Linked DNA regions of Oryctolagus cuniculus. The protein of the gene in region 1 binds, or shares a complex with, the protein of each later gene. Links are inferred from orthologs where the notes say so. Each region holds a gene or a part of one and is shown on either strand. Other genes may lie near its edges.

Region 1 (3,577 bases):
CAGGATCATCCCACTTTGATCTGGGATGCAGGCATCCTAAGTATCTGTCCCTCTCCCCCCAAGACTTTTTAACAGGTTCATTTTATTCCACACAAATGACTGCAGTTTTGTTCAGGAGATGTTACACTTCTGTAAAACAACTTAACCATTAATCTGAATTGGATTACTTCTGGAAGCAAATCATGTTGATCAAATTCTTCTATAAAGAGGATCAACTTTATTGTCCTTTTAGATAGAACATAATATATGTGGATGGGTATACCATTACACTGTAAGTTTTCATGACTTCACTTACAAACTAAATTATTCCCACCAGGACAGAGAGGATTATTAGTCATTCAGTACCATGAATATGCAAAACTCTGAAAAGCATTTGATTACCGAGTTCTCTATATTGAACAGATCCTTATTGCCCAGAGAAATTCCAATTTCTTCACAATTTGGAAAATTAAAATAGTTTGAACTTTTAAAAAAATATTTATTTATTTGAGAGGCAGTTATAGAGCGAGAAGGAGAGACAGAGAGAGTTCTTCCATCTACTGGTTCATTCCCCTAAATGGCTGCAATGGCTGGAGTGGGGCTAATCCAAAGCCAGGAGCCAGGAACTTCTTCTGGGTCTCCCACGTAGGTGCAGGGGCCCAAGCACTTGGGCCGTCTTTCACTGCTTTCCCAGGCTATGAGCAAGGAGCTAGACTAGAAGTGGAGCAGCCAGGACTCTAACTCGGCACTGAGTTTTTATATATATATATGTAAAATTTATAATAATATATTATATTTCTATATTATAATATATTATTAATTGTATTTCTATATGGGTTTATGTGTAAGTCCTTTGCCAAGTATATAGTGAAAAGTTCAAAGAAATATGATTGTTCCCTGAAATGGCAAGAGTTTTTCAAAATGTCAGGGCTTTATTAAGTTTTTCTACATCAGTACACAAATTCATAGAAACAAAATTATAATAGCTCTGTGCTCAGGTCACTTCTCTTCTGCCTTTGGGCTTATTAAGGCCTTATTAGGACCATCTGTCCATTCTTGTTTGCCTACAATGAGATTATCATTCATTCCCCCAATGGATAATGTCTACTTGCCCCTGTTCGAGGCAGCTGGCTTTTTGTAGAGTAGCTGGTGTTTCTTTTGTAGCTCATTTGCTTTCTTAAAGCAAAAAGCTCAAAGGAGCAATTAAAAGTTTCCATCTAATTCTGGGTAGTCTATGTCTCCTGAAAGGTCAGAGTCTCCATAGAGAATACATAAATTAAAACTGTGTTTGTGATCAACATTGTGGCATGGCAGGCTAAGCTGCTGTCTGTGACACTGGGATCCCATCTGGGTGCAGGTTCAAGTCCTGGGTGCTTCACTTCCCATCCAGCTCTCTGGTAATGCACCTGGTAAAGCAGCAGAAGATGGCCATGTCGTGGGCCCCTGCACTCATATGGGAGACCCAGATGAAACTCCTGGCTCCTGTGGCCATTTGGGCAGTGAATCAGGGGATGGAAGATTCTCTCCCCCCACCCCCCGTAACTCTTTCAAATAAAATAAATAGATCTTAAAAAACAACCAAAAAATCACCCATGTTCTACTCAAATCTATTTGGAATATAGTCATGTACCTGTACTTTGGTTAAGGTATACGATTATCCTCAACACACACACATGTACACAAACACACAGCCACACCATTTTTAAATCATTCCTTGATGGCAAGTTTATGTGTTACATACTTGTAACCATAATTGGCTTAGGGATTGCTGAATATCTAAATTGTTTTGATGTCGATAAAAGAAAAGTGTTCATTTTGGAGCATGTTGCTATTTTTCTTCTGTGACTTCTTTATGATAAATTCTCAGTCGTGGGATTATAGGCTCAAAGGGCATAAAATAATAAGTAAAATAAAATTCTTACAATGGCCGTTCATTATCTGATCTTTATTCAAGACTTTTTATTGGTTTGTTATTCAGTATTACAACAGAATGGGATACAAGAAGACATAAAATATGTGGACCAAGTAAAGAAAATTAAAACAAGTGGTTGCAACCAAGAAATGACATCATTTGAAATTAATCTGAAGGAAAAAAAGTAAGAAATTTTTTAAAGCTTAGATTTTCATTTTTGATTTTTAAATTTTAGCCTGTTTTTAAAGTTTATATAACTGTTCTCTTTTCAGTTTATGACTTCATAAAATATTTATAGTTGGATATTAGTTAGATCTTCTTAAATTTGGTTCCAGGAAAACTCAGTTTTTTCTGCAGATTAATTTGTGTACTTTTCAGAAAACAAAGATAACTGTTACTTTAGAAAAGCTATCAGAAAGATTAAATCCATTGTTTATTGTCTTTTTCTCCTGATTACTTAAAATAATGACAGTGAAGGATTTCAAGATAAAACACAACAAAGTTTTTAAATTGTAAGTTATCTTGGTTATATACAGGTTATAAATTTAAATAAAACATTTGCCTCTATAAGGAATGAGCTAAAATACCTTGTAGTTTTGTATTTGGCCCAAAGTGATGATCATCAGTAAACCAGTGAGTAGTGTCCTCACTAGAGTGCTGGATGCATTCCGACTTCCATAAAGAGACATTCTGTAGATTCTGACCTATATATGTCTGTCTAGTTATTGTGAAGACTTGAGAATTTATGAGAGTATGAAAATCCTATATCTTACCCATATTCTATCTGGGCTTCTTAACTGTAGGACTGAAATGGTAGTATCTACCTCATTTAATTCCTTATACATTAAAAAATAGCCAAGGAGATTAATTTCTTTTATATCATTAGGGCAATATAAATGTTTATTACTAAAACTCTCTTTACATTGTAGATTCAATTTAAAAATGTAGTATACTTATAGCACTGGACTTGAAGTTTTGGAGACTTGAAAACAAATTCTAACACTACTCTTGACTGTGTGACCTTGGTCAAGGCACTTAACTTCTCCTTGATAGCTGTTAAAAGATAATGCCTATTTAGTGCTTATAAATGTGGCCAACAATATTCAGACTCTTTTGCTGTATTAATTCATTTAATTCCCACAGCAGCTCTATGAGTTTGGCAATATTATTACCTTTGGTTCATGGATGAGAAACAAAAGACGGAAGAAGTCACTTGCCCAAGTGAATTGTGGAGCCAGGATTCAAATGTAGGCAGGGTTGCTTAAGAACCCTCCCTCTTAATCCCCATAGTGGGTTCATCTGTAAATTGACAATGCAAGTGGCTGTCTCTAAGAGTGGTATGGAGACTCAGTAAGATTGTATAAATCAAAGTGCTTTGTAAAGAGATATACATAAGAAGAAGGTCATGCCATGTCTTCTGACAGTTCTGGTGGTGAGTGGGAAAGAAATGTCATTCACTAGAATACTTTTTCCTAACATTATGTTCCTTTCCAATGTGACTAATAATGTTCAACATGAATGAGTGACCAGATGCTTTTCTTAAGCCCCAGACTTGAAGGTTGCTTCCGTCAGAGGAAAACTCCTGAGTCTCCCTAACTTACAATGTTCTTTGTTGTGTTTTAACCACATTGCCCACTTAAGCCATTGATCAGCACTGAATTTGCCAATGATGTTTTTAACCACTAG
Region 2 (3,914 bases), on another chromosome or scaffold:
GCTTCCCAGCCAGCTCCCTGCGAGGGTGCCTGGGAAAGCTGCAGAAGACGGCGCAGGTGCTTGGGCCGCTTGACCGACCTGGCAGACCCGGGTGGGGCTCAGCCTGGGCCGCCGCTGGCTGTTACGGGTATTTGGGGAGTGAACCAGCAGGTGGAAGACCTCTCTCTGCCTTTCCATTAAATAAAACGAGAGAGAGAGACAGAGACAGAGAGAGAGAGAGATACAGAGACAGAGAGAGAGATATAGAGACAGAGAGACAGAGACAGAGAGAGACAGAAAATCCTTATTTCAAAAGGAAAACCTGGAACTGCTCCCCCAATTTTTCTTTTTAGAATAAAACAAATTAAGACCTAGAACAACAAAACTACAATGGTGGGTCCACACCCTCAACTGTTTTTTTTTTTTTTTAAATTTTATTTATTTATTTGTGAGGCAGAGTTAGAGAGAGAGAGAGAGAGAGAGAGAGGTCTTCATCCGCTGGTTCACTCCCCAGATGGCCGCAATGGCCAGAGCTGAGCTGATCCGAAGCCAGGAGCCAGGAGCTCCATCCGGGTCTCCCACGTGGGTGCAGGAGCCCTAGGACTTGGGCCACCTTCTACTCCTTTCCCAGGCCACAGCAGAGAGCTGGATCAGAAGTGGAGCAGTCGGGACCTGAACCGGCGCCCATATGGGATGCTGGTGCCGCAGGTGGAGACTTAGCCCACTACACCACAGCACCGACCCCCTCGTCTGTTTATTGCCCCCATGATGCACTCAGTGGATGTGCGGTGACACTGAGTGACAGGCACTTCATCAACGGTGACAGGTGCACCACCTTGACAGGGATGTGCTCTGCTGTGGGGGGTGGGGGATGGGAAGGCAGCAGTGGCTTATGGGAACTCCCTACACTTTCCATTCAATTTCATTTTGAATCTCAAAGTCTATCTTTTTTAAGACTTATTATTTTATTTACTCAAAAGGCAGAGTTACAGAGGAAAAAGGAGAGACAGAGATCTTTCACTCGCTGGTTCACTCTCCAGATAGCCACAATGGCCAGCGCTGGGTCAGGCTGAAGCCAGGAGCCAGGAGCTTCTTCCTGGTCTCCCATGCAGGTGCAGGGGCCCAAGCACTTAGGCCATCTTCTACTGCTTTCCCAGGCCACAGCAGAGAGCTGGACTGGAAGTGGAGCAGTCAGGACTCGAACCGGTGCCCATATGGGATGCCGGCTATGAAGATGGCAGCTTAGCTTTACCGGCTAAGCCACAGCACTGGCCCCTTAATTCATGATTTAGAGAAATGACAGCAACAGTGATCATAAATAACAGCCTCGGCAGGCCAGCACTGCGCTGAGCGAGTTCGGAACACTCCCCCGCTCGCTCTTGTCGTTCTTCAAGACTTACACACTTATTTACTCAAATGGTGGAATGGCAGAGAGGGAGAGACAGCAGGAGAGAAAGATCTTCCACCAGCGCTGGTCACTCCCCAAAAGCGAGGGCTGGGCCAGGCTGACGCCAGGAGCTCCATCCGGGTCTCCCACGTGGGCCGTCCCCTGCTGCCTCACCGGGCGGATCTGCAGGGCGCCGGCGCCGGCGTGCCACCGCGGGGACACGAACAAGCCCTCTGATGTGGGACGGGATGGGGGATTTGCAAGCTGCTCCACGTTCATTCTTGTCAACAACCCTAAAGGGGGGCGGGGGGAGGGGTGCTGTGCCACAGCCTGCAACACCAGCAGCCCACACGCGGGCTCCGGTTCGCGTCCCAGCCGCTCCACTTCGGATCCAGCTCCCTGCAAATGCACCTGGGCAAAGCGGCAGAAGATGGCCCCCCAGTATCTGGGCCCCTGCCACCCACACAAGAGACCCGGATGAAGCTCCTCGCCCCTGCTTCCTTCTGGATCTAGAGAGTGATGCAGCGGATGGAAGACACCCCCCACTGCACCCATCCCGGAGGAGGAAGGCGGGCCTGGACTCCCCCCTGCCCCACAGAGGGAGGGAAGGAGCGGCTCCCCGGGGGTCGCCTCACCCAGCGCGTTCTGGATCTCCACGGACCTCTCGGGACTCAGAAGGGTCTCATCGCCGTCGTAGGGCGAGCGGAAGCGGACGCCCTCCTCCGTCACCTCGGACAGGGACACCAGGGACACCATCTGGAAGCCGCCGCTGTCCTGGGGGAGCCCGCGCAGGGCTGTCAGACGGAGCGGGGGGCGGAGGGGGCTCTTCTCCCCAGCCCAGCGCCCCTGCGCCCCCTCACCGTCAGCAGGTTGTGGGGCCAATTCATGAAGCCGTGGAGGCCGTGGGCTTTCTGGATCAGCTCGGGGCCCTGGGGTGGACAGTGTGGCAGGTGCGGGGTGAGCGGGGTGACCGCCCTCGGGAGGCGAGCCCGGGACTGGGGTCCACCCGAGGGATCCCCCCACCCCACCGCGTCCCGCCGCCACCCCGCTGGGGCCGAGCGCACCCACCGGCCGCAGACCCAGATGGTAGGTGTTGCCCAGGCAGATCCGGCAGCCCAAGGCGTCCAGCTGCTCCGTGGTGATGCCTTTCATAGTGGCCTGCGTGCCCACCGGCATGAACACGGGAGTGGCCACCGTCCCGTGCGGCAGCCGCAGCTCGCCCGCCCGCGCCCTGGAGCGGCTGCACTCGGCCACCAGCCGCATGATCCGCGGAGCCGACTCCAGGGACGCCGGGCTGGCCGCGGCCGCCATGTTGCCTGGCCGGAAACACGTGAGCGTTGCGATGCTGTAGGCGGCGCCATCTTGGTCCGGGTCACGTGACGAGAGACGCACGCCGACGGCCCGGAAGAGCGCCCGGGGACCATGGCAACGGACGCCTACGCGCGGGGGCGCCGCGGGGGGCCCGCGCGTCGCTTCCTCCCGCCGCCCGCCAAGGCGTGGCCTCGGAATCCTCTGCCTGCTCTGCCATCAAAGCCGTCATTTTCTCCCGTGGACGTGGGGCGACTGCCAGCTCTGGCAGCGTCAGGGCGTTGTCAGGACAACAGGAGAAGCGGGGAGGATGCGTGGATTTCTACGCGGGCTTTTGTCTTCCCGAGGGGTCGGAACGAGCATGGAAGTGCCCACGAAACACGTGTCTTCCGTGGAAGACGCACTCCCAGACGCGGGCCCGGCCCCCGCGCACGCGTGCGCGTCCGTCCGTGCGGTGCCCGCCGTTGGGCACCTGCCCGCCAACCCTGGGACGACGCCATGTGGAGCTTGGGCTGTGTTCCGCTGAGAGTCTGTGATGCAGAATCGGTGCGTTTGTTTTGCTTTGACGTGGGGCTGGTATCTGTCGAGGCCAGCAGAGAGCGCCATTGTCCCAGAGCACTGCCTCTGGGAACCTCGGGCCCTGGGCGCGTTCCGCAGGGAGCCCCACCGCGCGGCCTGTGCACTTGCTGGTGGATCTGTGGGCAACTCAGCCTTGCTGAATTCCTCCTAGAGGGCCATCTTTCTCACAGGCGGCCCCACTTCCAAAGATTCAGACCCCCAACCAACCCCGCACAGGAAGATCCCACCCTCTGTCGCTCTGTCATATCACTTGTGATTGATGTTATATAATTTCAAAACCCTCTATATAACAGCAGTTTCAAAAAGTTTTTAAAAAATATTTGAGAGGCAGAGAGAATGGTCCCGTCCACTCGTTCACTCCACAGATGCCTGAAATGCGTTGGACCAGACCAGGATAAAGCTGGGAGCCAATAACCCACTTCAGATCTCTCGTGTGGGTGGCTGGGACCCTAGCATTGGATACTGCCTCCCAAGGTGGGCGTGGGCAAGGCAGCTGGAGCCAGGAGCCCGAGATAGGAATCAAACCCACGTCTTCTGTGGCGACAACCACTCGACTAAATGCCTGCTCTCCCCCAAAGTTTTATCCTGCTCCCTGCTTTGAAAAGACTAGAGGGGCTGGCGCTGTGGTGTAGCAGGTTAAGCTGCCACCCACAGTGCCAGC

Evidence for each region.
Region 2: the proteins of QTRT2 (region 1) and QTRT1 are in contact, whole or in part, in a crystal structure (PDB 7OVS), measured with the Mus musculus proteins. The link is inferred for Oryctolagus cuniculus from reciprocal best matches to the Homo sapiens genes QTRT2 and QTRT1. Residues at the interface, in NP_001343258.1 of Mus musculus: Arg39, Thr40, Gly41, Ser42, Ala43, Pro44, His45, Leu46, Thr47, His48, Gln49, Thr50, Asn53, Glu70, His71, Glu73, Val74, Glu77, Tyr78, Phe85, Ile86, Gly87, Phe119, Gln342, Glu343, Phe345, Tyr355, Asn359, His360, Ala363; in NP_068688.2 of Mus musculus: Thr50, Thr53, Met54, Lys55, Gly56, Ile57, Thr58, Thr59, Glu60, Gln61, Ser64, Arg80, Pro81, Leu85, Lys88, Ala89, Phe95, Met96, Asn97, Ala307, Lys308, Phe310, Pro320, Thr324, His325, Ala328, Phe329, Ala332, Leu333, His335.

The regions. Positions count from the first base shown.
Region 1 is NC_091435.1:70,119,656-70,123,232, forward strand, and holds part of QTRT2 (queuine tRNA-ribosyltransferase accessory subunit 2), read left to right. Parts: intron 1-1,957; coding exon 1,958-2,075; intron 2,076-3,577. UniProt on the Homo sapiens protein: Non-catalytic subunit of the queuine tRNA-ribosyltransferase (TGT) that catalyzes the base-exchange of a guanine (G) residue with queuine (Q) at position 34 (anticodon wobble position) in tRNAs with GU(N) anticodons (tRNA-Asp, -Asn, -His and -Tyr), resulting in the hypermodified nucleoside queuosine (7-(((4,5-cis-dihydroxy-2-cyclopenten-1-yl)amino)methyl)-7-deazaguanosine).
Region 2 is NC_091447.1:66,830,851-66,834,764, forward strand, and holds the start of QTRT1 (queuine tRNA-ribosyltransferase catalytic subunit 1), read right to left. Parts: upstream 2,717-3,914; 5' UTR 2,678-2,716; coding exon 2,435-2,677; intron 2,296-2,434; coding exon 2,227-2,295; intron 2,141-2,226; coding exon 2,002-2,140; intron 1-2,001.